Linked DNA regions of Drosophila melanogaster. The protein of the gene in region 1 purifies or fractionates together with the protein of each later gene. This does not show direct contact. Each region holds a gene or a part of one and is shown on either strand. Other genes may lie near its edges.

Region 1 (7,275 bases):
CGCCATCCATTTGCATTAATGATTTGCACAAATCCCACCCAAAAAAAGGAGATTGGTCACTGCCCACACTAGTAGCAGGTCGCCTTGAAAGACGGTGAAATTCTCACGTATTTCTTATCAACCACAATGCAGACAGATTGTGGAAATAACTGAAATAAAACAGCAAATAGTAATTGCCCGTCGAGGGGGAAATGGGGGAGAACAGGTACAAGGCAAGTACAAGCGATCTAGGCGATTGTTTGAACTATTGATAAATGTTAAACATAAGCAAGGGTCGCCCCTTGGCACGCGTCCAGTGTTTCCGAGTCCGTCCAACGGTTAACAGCTCCTAAAATTATCGAATCAAGAGCGCGACTTATTAAACGCAAATTAACAGCAGCCATTAAAAGACATTCGCGAACAGCGGAAAGCAATTAGGAAATCAAATCAGCAATATGTCACAGTTGTACGAACTCTCGGAGGTGGCCCAGCAGAACGGCAAGAATGGCAAACCCTGCTGGCTGATCATCAAGGGGAACGTGTACGATGTAACCAAGTTCCTCGGCGAGCATCCTGGCGGCAGTGAAGCACTACTCGAATATGGCGGCAAGGATGCCACCAAGGCCTTCAAGCAGGCAGGCCATTCCTCCGACGCAGAAAAGGATCTAAAGAACTACAAAATCGGAGAAATCAACTCAGCTGCACCCATTCAAGTGCAGCCAACGTCCAATGGTGCAGCAAAGCCGACGGCAAACACAATATCCGAAGATCCCGAACCCGCGAAGAATAGCTCCTCCGGTTTCTGTTGCTGCTAGTCATAGGTTTACATGTCATTTGATTGATTTATTAACATAGGATGAGGTCGTAGTTAGTTTATCATAGTTAAATTGTAAATAGTTCTAGGTTTATCTCATAATAGCTACATCTTCATGTCCACAAAGCTATCTTAAAAAAGATCAACTCTTCTTAAACGATCTGAATAAATTGCAAACAAAGCCGGCGGAGCTGCTCCACCAATTTCAAAAAAATTAAACTAAATCCAAACGATGCCTAATCTTTCGGTTCGGCCTCCATGGTTGGCTCGCTGCTGGGGGCAGCCGATTGGAACGTACTGCATGCAGTGTCAAAGTAATCCGTCGTGAAACTGGTCACGTTTACCGTGTGGTTGCGCAGATAGTGATAGAATCTACTCGACTTCCGTTCCAGTCCTGCCCGTTCCTTTTCGCTGCGGCATATGGAGCGCAGGGCGGGCTCGAAGTCCAGCGATTTGGCGGAGTCGGAACGGAGAACTCCGTTGCCCAGGTGCTGGCAAATTGAAAACCTGGAAAGATTACAGAAAGTTATAAAAAATGAAAAAATTAAAGCATAACTAAAATAAGTTTGGTATCTAATTAGTGAAAAGTCTGGGCACTAATTTAATGAATAGGTGTGTTCCTAAGATAGTTATAAGATCGGTCATTTTTATGACAAGGCTATTAGAATTCCGAACGCTAAAGATATCTTGTGACTAGTTGTTATTATGACTGCTGGATGATAACAAAACCCCGGTTTCCTTTTTCCATCGATTACTGCCATGACAGCTAATTAAGTTAGCATTATTAAGCCTTAAAATGTGTTTAAAGCAAAATAGATATAGATACAGATAGATATTGTTAATAAAGATCTTTTGATATTAAAGTGTTTATATATTGGCTTAGTTAAAGAGTAACTCATCATTTTGAAAATCTTACCTCTGAACCGGCTTATCAAATAGATTGTAGGGGCACTCCTTGGTCGCGAGTCCAGTTTGGAGAGCCTGCTCCACCAGCAGGTGACCGATTTCTTCGGACAGGTGCCACTGCAAGCGATCACTGCAGTCGGAGTCCATCAACGAAGCCACCGAAATGTTGTCATAGAAGGATGCCAATGTGGCGAGCGATGAGCTGTGCCCATCGGACTTCTGCCCAGTGGCGCTGCTCAGCCAGGCCTTCTTTGGTGAGCGGGACTTCCGCTTGGCAGCGGTTCTACTTCCACCGCCCGCTGCCTGCTGCTCCTTTAGCATCGCCGAACTAGCCATAAGATCGGGGAGATTCAAACGCAAGAGGCTGAAGTCAACGGGAAAGGGTATTCGATACTGGACATTCTGCGGGCTTGTAAAGAACTCAAAGAATCTCTGATGGATTCGACTGCCATCGACGGTGGCCAGCCGGCTATTTGAGGTTTTGGTTGGTGATTTAATCCCACCGCCAGTCCTATCGCGAGTTGAATCTCCACCACTCTGAATGTAGAACTGAAGTTCCATCAACGTCTTGCGCAGATTCTGTTGATTGTATAGATACACGGATATCAATTCGTCCAACTCGATGGGACAGTTTTCCATTAGCGATAAAACGGCCAAGAATCGGGAGATGTTCAATGCGTTCGGAGCTTGGAAATGGATTATATTCTGCTGCATTAGGCGCTGCAAGTGCGCGCAATTCGGATCCGTGGCAACCACAATGACCGGCCTCTTGGAACTGGCGGCCAATGTATAAATGGCATCCGTAAATCCAGCGTCCAAGTTATCAAACAAGATATCCGCATCCTCGATTAGGATCAGAGACTTCCGTACTTCGGAAGGAGGTTCCACTGCGGCTGCTTTTGCTTTTAATCCACTCTTTTGCAACTTTTGAAGCAACTGCTGTGAGGATCCTCCACCCGCTTTACCATCTTTCCTTATCTGATGCGACTGCGTGGCCTCTTGAAGTTCCTGTATCAGCTTCTTGCCCGTCCTCTTCATCCCTGCATTTATCTCCAAGACATTAAAGTTCATGTCGTTGGCTAAGGTAAAAACGGCATTGGTCTTCCCGCTGGATGAAGGTCCGACCAGAACCATCGTGTTGCTACTTGAGCCCATTGATGCCGAATCATTGCTCATGTCAAAGGTGTCATCCATGCCCTGCGAGTTTCGATTGCTACCTCCATTGCCACTCCAGCTGGACAGGAACTCCCTAAGCTCCTGCACTGGCGTCAGATTCACCAGAACCTGTTCGAACAGCAGCGGTTTGTACTTCTCCGTAAAGAGCAGCTCGCCATTCGGAGCGGAAGGCGGTGGTTTCGCCTCCTCTTCGTTCTGTGCCATATTCTGCTCCATTGAACGGCGAGTGCGACGTGTTACCACCAGTGATTCTCCCATTTGCTGCGTATCCTGTGCACTGTCAATGGCGCTGAAGTGGCGATACTTCTCCCTCATCTGGTTATAGCACTTAAAGGTGGGAAACCGATCGAAATCATTCTTCCAGAGCTTCACAAAGCCACGTTTATTTTCCAGCTGTGGCAAAGTTGCATAGTTGAACTTGTTCAAAGTTTTGCTGGATGTAAAATCCGCGGGCAGACAGCTGGTGATGCTACTCGCTTTGGCACGTCGTTTGTTGGCGGGTAACGCTTTCGTAACCTCGGAATATTCCTCTTCTGCCCTCAGAGCAAAGGGAATGTCCAGAGGACCGTTTTTTGAACCGAAGCTCTCGCAGCCTATATGCGCCAGTCTGGGAAACACTTCATAGCTATCTTCGTACATCTGGTCGAAGTTCTTTTGACGGATCTGCTCCTGTCGAATTTTGTCCGGAACTCCGGATTGCAGAAACGCCTGTCGAGCCTTCAAAACCGACGGATCTGGGCTGGGCTTTGGCAATTGACGGACGAATAGCGGCGCTAGTTTCTTTGGTGTGGCAGCTGGATTACTATTGTCTAGGTCAATAATCTCTACAGACTCGTCTGCCTTTTGGGGCTTCGCCTTTTGTTGCTTGCCGGGACTCGTTTCCAGATCGTAATCGTAGCGCGCTTTGCCCACACACGATCGTCTTGGTCTTGACGAGGGAGTGGATTCGGCTACAATGGGTGTCTCTTGCTGGCTCTTTCTGCGCAGTGTTCTTCGCTTGGGTGTCTCCATGGGTGGGGTTTCTATCGCAATGATCACCTTTTCAGCTAACTCCTTCGGGGATTCCACTTTGGGAAAGTAGCCCAGCAGGCTGTCACGCTTTTTCGTGGGCGACGAAAGCTTCGAGAGAAGCTCCTCTGTTCCTGGATCTTGATCTTTTGCTTTCACGACCGGGGGCTTCGATTCCACAATTTGGTTCTGTGCATCCATGGAACTGATTCGTCGAGAGCGCGGTCGACCTCTTAGACGCTTGACTGTTGGATCCGTGGGTGCCGAGGATGGAGCCGTCACCTCTTTGGCGTCAGTCTTGGTCAGCATTTTTCGCAGTCTAGGGAAATAAAATGTTGTATAGCGCTCTGAATCTAATTCTTAATCAAACTCACCTCTTTGCCCTTTGCTCCATCTGCAGCTCAATGAACTCCCCGCGAGCTTCGTCCGCTAGTCTTCTCTTGGCTCCCCCCTTGCGTTCGTTCCATTCTTGGAGGAGAAGCTTCCGTTTGGTGGTCGGCGTTGCTGCCTCACTGCCGATTTCTTGATCCGCGGGAGATTCTGCCCCACCTTCATTAACCCCCAGAGAGCGATTCCGAGCATTCATCATGAACTCAAAGACATTGGTGGTTGGCTTCGGTTTGGCTGTGCTCACCGGAGAAACACCCACGTTCTCCGGCTTTCCCGCCTTGGCGAAGTGCTTCATGATGCTCTGATTGTCGGCCACCGGAGTGCTGGACTTCAGCGGACTGGACCGCCGCCGACCGTTCTTGAGACCGTTTTCTTGGGAGGATTTCTCGCGAAGTGGCTGCGGTTTCTCTTTGGCATTCGCCTTGACCTCCTCGGTGGTGCTCTTCTGGTCCTCCATGAGTGCTGCGCGGCGCTTCTCCTCCCGCTTTCGCTTGTGCTTCTCCCGATGCTTCTGCTTCACCGAGTTCAGCACTTCCTCCATGTTCTGGAGTATCAGTTTGGATTTGGCGCTGGGCGGTGCTCTCAGAACGAACGGAGATGTGGGCTCGACGGGATCCGTGGCCGCATTTTTGGAGGGAGTTCCTGGTGGACTCGCAGTGGTCGTTGTGGGTGCAATGTGCTCACTTGTAAGACAATTTACATCGGTCATTTTTGTGGGTCTCTTTTGCTGTTTTCTTTTTGGGTTTAGGCTTAATGCATTTTGCTGAGTGTGTGCGTGTGTTTGTGTATGGTGTGGTATTCTTTTGTAAGATCTAAGTACTTAAGCAATTGATATATCTACAGATAATACGAAAGCCAAACTCAAAAGATCGCAAATGAAGATCGGGGGCAAAAGCAAAAACATGACAACAATACAATAATAATGAGATCTACCTTCGCAGCGACTTTTCGTTTTTCGTATTTGTTACACTCCCGCACACGCACACACACTGCCGCGATCGAACTGGTGTCCCGTTGATCGCGATCCTCTTTCTAACGGTACTTGGGCCTCAATATGTTATTACTTTCCGGTGTCTACTTTATGCGTTAAATATCATTTTATACAAGTTTGCTTAAGGTATAAATTGTTAGCACAATGTGCTGGGGGGAAAAAAGGCGCGAAGAAACGGTGTTGGTAAACAGTGGAGGGGTAACTATTTCCAGCACTGATCGGCCAGGCAGAAATTAATTTGTTGCACTCTCATTTATGCTTTTTAATAATTTGTTTGTAAATTTCTATTTTTACTTTGTGAAGTAATGATTTTATATTAATAATATAATTACCAAGACTAAACGGAATAATTATAAGGTTGTGTATTAGTAGAGAACAAAAACAGAATGAAATACATTTGTAGGAATCACCTAATATTTAATTATATTTTATATTATATTAATTATAATTATATTTGTTCTTTATACAATTTTATACATTGTATTTTATAGTTTTATTAAATATTCCCGCTTAAAAAATAAAATGTTGTTTCTATTTAAATTACCGCAGCTGTTGGTGGTAATTTAGATGACCTGATTCGATTTGGTATTATGGGAACTTTTCCAGATTTGGTCACACTGCCCTTTACACTGTTTTGGTTTTCGTGAAAATGTCCACATACTACTTTGTTATTGTGGGTCAAAATGATAATCCCATTTACGAGAAGGAATTCAGCACCGTGAACAAGGAACTAAGGGTATGTAGACCTGGGCAACGTCTCATAGAACTGTGTAAATACATTCTCCTTCTGCAGAAAGAGGACCACAGGCACCTCACCCAGTTTATTGCCCATGCCGCCTTGGATTTGGTGGATGAGCACAAATGGAAGACGGCCAATATGCAGCTGAAATCCATTGATAGATTCAATCAGTGGTTTGTTTCGGCCTTCATCACAGCCAGCCAAATACGATTCATCATCGTTCATGACAACAAAAACGACGAGGGAATCAAGAACTTCTTTAACGAGATGTATGACACGTATATCAAAAACTCCATGAATGCCTTCTATCGCATCAACACACCCATTAAATCTCCGATGTTTGAGAAGAAGTCGGAGATCTTTGGTCGGAAGTATTTGTTATCATAAATTTGTTAAAACCTGTAGCCATTAAGTAATTGTGTAATATAAAACTTGAAATAATTTAAAAGCATAACTTTACCCTTTCTTATACAGTTGAGAAGACCCGAAACCAATGAATAATCTAGTTTATATTTTATTTAATTTATTTAGAAAAGCAGCCTAGGCTTAACATTGATGGACTTGTTTTATTCACTTTTTACTCAATGCGCCCTCGAATCAAATCTAAAACGATTTAACGCCCGTCTCCAGACGACAGTCCCAGACTGGAGTAAATTAGATGTGTGGGTTGAATAGATGAACAACGCATGGAATCAATTTGAAACTAAAGCAACAAAATATACGGAATTTGTAATGGGTCTTTGCAAAGAAATCTCTTGGTGGTGGCGAGGAAACCGTCCGTCCTGCAGCTTAGTGCTTCTTGTTCTTTCCAGAGCGCTCATATTTGCTCTTGGACTGGTGCCACAGAGCCAGAGGAATGGCCAGGGAAGGCAGAGTCATCACGGCGAAGGCCACCCAGTCGAAGAAATGGGAGGAGAAGCGCTTGTTGTACTCGTTCAGGTTGACAATTCCACCCTCACCGGGCTCAGAGCTGACCGCCAGTTGGAGCTGCAAGAATTGTTGGGTATTAAGTTCTTTGATCGATCTTTCAACAGGTAACGGGCATTTTTAAAAGACTGTTGTGTATAAATTCACTTAGTTGAGATTATTAAATTTAAAAGTGAATGATTTTGGTTTGCTTTGGCGGTGGCTTCTGTAACACTGAGATTAGATAAGATTTTTCAGGGCGGACACTGAGATTTGATGCCCCCACATTCAGCTATAACTTACCGTCTCCGACTCCTCGACAGCCTTGTAGGACACCTCGGCGGCGGTGAAGTTGAAGTAGCCGAA
Region 2 (3,647 bases), about 11 Mb from region 1:
GTACATCCTTTTTGATCCCCCAACTAAACCCATTCAGAATTAGTGCAATGCGCACATCTGGTTCTTAAATTTAATTAAAAATATGCTACTTGAAAATATTGCTCTTGCTGAACGTTTCATCTTGCAGTTTTCGCTATCTGCCCAAAATGAAGCAGACTCATTTTCACTCGCTTGGCGTTGGGAAAGCGCCGGCTCGGCCTATGTATGCTATATGTGAAATTCTCGGAAAAGTCGAAAACACACTAAGCGGAGTGCAACAACAACGTCATCGTTGCAAGCATTGAACTCGATTTTGTTTTCATTGCCGCCTGAATTTCTAAAACGCAGCTAATTAGTCGAGAGTGTTTGTGTTGCTGCTGCTGCCGCAGTTGTTGCACTTGCAACACTGCTGCTTCTTTAGCTGTGTTCCACTTTTCTGGCAGTTTTCCACTTTTCCACCGGCCAATGCTGCGACTGCTGCAGATTTCACACGCGGCCAGGCAATTCATCATAAAAATTATAGTAAGCTGCCATCCAATGGCAGCACTGACCAAAAACAGTTGCAGTAAGCAACAAACTAAAAACTAAGTTAAAAAATATATGTATATTAATAAAAATGTATCGAAGAAGTTACAAATACATTAAGAAGTAACTAACTAACGTATCTTTATTGACAGCCACAATAAACTTCTAAATATTTTTCCCAGTGTAAACCAGAAGAAGGTGGCTTAAGACGATCGAACGTCAGAGTTTTCAGTTGGCAGATGTTTGCTTAAAACCAAATATAAATAAGTTTTTCCAAGTCTAAGTCCAGGCCGCGCCTTGTGTGTTTGTTTAAATAAAATGAAAGTTTTTTTGCTGCACTTTTTGTTGTTTCGCGAATAAGCGCGCGCCAATGTTTGACATACATTGAATAGACTGCAGTCTGTCAGTCAGTCGGTCACTTAGCCACTGAGCCAGTTAGTCACCTAGTCACTAAGTCGATTGTGTTAGTGGAACACGACGGAATGGCAGACTTTGCTTTAGTCAGCGACTTGCAACGGTCGTTGCCGTTTCGCTTTTGCTGCCCGCTGCATTATGATTTCATTTTCTAATCGAGTTCGTCTTCATCCGCAGCCTCACTTTATATTGCTTTCCTATAGTCAGCGCGAAAGGCGATGTGCTGCAGAAATAAAATCACGCATACGCCGCGTATGACGAAAGTGAAATAGGCGCGACGACGAAGGCCCATAAAAAGCGGTAGCCAAAATAGAGCCAAGTAAAAGAGAAAGAGTAGGCGGCAAGAGAGCGAAAGGCGGAAAAAGAGGAAAGAGGGTTCGGAAAGAAATAGAGAGCTAGAACGGTAGCTTCACTTTTTTTCGGCAGTTCAACAAACTTTGAAACGAACTTGGGTCAACAAACTATGCAAGACCCACGGGGAGATCATTAGAAGATCACCATCAAAAAGACGATGATGATGGCGCTACAGCTGAACTGAATCTTTTGTCCGTGGTATACGCATAAATAAAAATAACAAGACGAGAGGTCAATGGCAGCCACACTGGCTTCAAAATGCAAAGTGGTGAAGGGGCAAGCACTGTTAAATAAAATCTAAGAAAATGTGAAAAAAAACATATGGATCTAATAAGAAAAATCTTACAAAAATAAATGGTCATCAAGTTTTGTAACTGAGTTCTTTGACCAGTTTTTTTTTTTCCTGGGCTATTTTTTGATTTCGGCAGTCCTATTCACTTACAAAAGTGAATAAATGCAGTATTAACAAACTTTCAATGGATTTATTATGAAATAACTTTGAATTTTAAGTGCAGAAACTAACATTTAAAGAATCTATAAAACATATACACAAATAATATAAGACTTATTCATTCAAACTAATAGTTTATAAATTAGCTTGTTAAAGAAAAACGACAACGCCACCTATGCAATTAGGTTAAGAACTAGCATGCATATTTCAGCAAAGACATAAACCGATAGTCGGAACAGATATCCGTAAATCGATTAATTGTAATTACTTTTTATCAATATCCGGTCACATTGTCCAAAACAAAATATAAATTTGTTGAAATTCGAGCATTTTCTGAAAATATGAGCTCGCCAACGAGTAAAAATGTCAGCGAAACGAACGGGAACAAGCCAAAGAAGTCGGCCAAAACGAGCTCGAATACGAAAGGCGGCTCCATGGACACTCGCGCCGAGTTGGCGGACCTCATCAAGAAGAAGGCCGAAACATCGGTGAGACACAATATAAACAAACCCGAAATCGCAGCACTTTATCATTTTTTTGTTGCATAAATGACAGGAACAACTGGCCAATCTGGAGCGACAGATCTACGCCTTCGAGGGCTCCTACCTAGAGGACACGCAGTTGTGCGGAAACATCATCCGAGGCTGGGAGCGCTATCTGACCTCCAACAAGGCCACCAACTCCAAGGCCGACAAGCGGAATCGCAAGTTCAAGGAGGCCGAGCGCCTGTTCTCCAAGTCCAGCATCACCTCCATGGCTATATGCAATCGTAAGTGGGGGATAATTCATACTGTGTCATTCGCTTGTGTAATCGATCTAGGCTTTATGCCCAGAAGGGTGTAAATTGATACGCTTTAGTTGCCATACATGAGTATGTTTATTCGCCTTTAGCTGAGCGCGCCAGCGAATCGGATTCCATCACAAATGAAGACTCCAGCGACAATCAGATCTCAATCAATCAGAACACCACAACGGCCCACGACGGAACCACGACAATCAAGAGCACACCGAAAGACGAAAAGGGTAAGGCAGCACAGCACATTGAGATTCAACTTTAGCGCTTTTCTCCAGAAAAGTATATATGTTTAATTACACCTTTTTATTTACAGATTCACCCTCGCATCGCAATGAGGGCAGCGTAGTGAGCGGAATGGTGTCTGGATCTACGAACAGTGGAGGGAACAAGGATCTCCTCGGCACACCCACTTCGAATACAAAGAGCAAACTATCCACGAACTCCAGTGCGACAGCGAAGAAAAGCGGTCACATAAACAAGAAGATTCGACATCGATGATAACTGCTACCGTGTAATCCGCATCTGATAAAGCACTATTTACCTTCAAAGTTTTTAAATTAAAATTTGTACATGAAATAAAGCGAATGTAGATTTACAAACTTAGTTTATTTCCATACAAATGTCTTCTTTCTACATTTATCACTTCAATATTTAAAGGCAACTACTTTCAGCATCGCGTCATACTTTTGACTCATAGTTTTGATAGACATACAGGGTTTTTCCTCGGCTCAAAGTTAAGTTTGCAATAGTTTGATTAGGAAATGATGAGTAAAATATATTGTGGCACACTATAGTCGATTTTCTATAGTCGATGCACGTCATATAAAGAAAAATATTCATACATTTTGTGATTAAATGAATTCTATATAGAATGTAGAATGAAGTGAAATATATTCATACATTTTGTGAGAAAAAAAGTTATACTTTACTATTAAATTGATTAATTCGAAGAGAAGAAAATACTATGTCATGTTAAAATGCCTTTTTGTTTGAGAAATGGATTCAATCGTACTTTGAGTTGCAGATCTACTAAAGGCTCTCTGTTTGGGAAATATTCTGAAAAGAGACATTTTAGGGAACTGGTTACCCGAACTATGAACTATAAGACTTACTGTTTCTTGAATAGTA

The links.
Region 2: the proteins of elg1 (region 1) and Eaf6 purify together in Drosophila melanogaster (affinity purification with mass spectrometry, with the first as the bait; one large-scale study listed by BioGRID). This does not show direct contact.

What each region holds. Positions count from the first base shown.
Region 1 is NT_037436.4:16,130,221-16,137,495, reverse strand, and holds elg1 (enhanced level of genomic instability 1), read right to left. Parts: upstream 5,469-7,275; 5' UTR 4,983-5,468; coding exon 4,258-4,982; intron 4,203-4,257; coding exon 1,710-4,202; intron 1,301-1,709; coding exon 1,030-1,300; 3' UTR 805-1,029; downstream 1-804. Other genes in the region: CG5157 (uncharacterized protein), read left to right, coding at 435-794; Trs20 (TRAPP subunit 20), read left to right, coding at 5,914-6,000, 6,058-6,390; SsRbeta (signal sequence receptor beta), read right to left, coding at 6,793-6,990, 7,213-7,275. UniProt on the Drosophila melanogaster protein: Has an important role in DNA replication and in maintaining genome integrity during replication stress. Promotes PCNA deubiquitination.
Region 2 is NT_037436.4:5,606,651-5,610,297, reverse strand, and holds Eaf6 (Esa1-associated factor 6), read left to right. Parts: upstream 1-1,997; 5' UTR 1,998-2,064; coding exon 2,065-2,211; intron 2,212-2,278; coding exon 2,279-2,492; intron 2,493-2,614; coding exon 2,615-2,746; intron 2,747-2,832; coding exon 2,833-3,017; 3' UTR 3,018-3,136; downstream 3,137-3,647. Other genes in the region: mthl2 (methuselah-like 2), read right to left, coding at 3,482-3,575, 3,632-3,647. UniProt on the Drosophila melanogaster protein: Component of the Enok complex which has a histone H3 acetyltransferase activity. Might be involved in transcriptional activation of selected genes.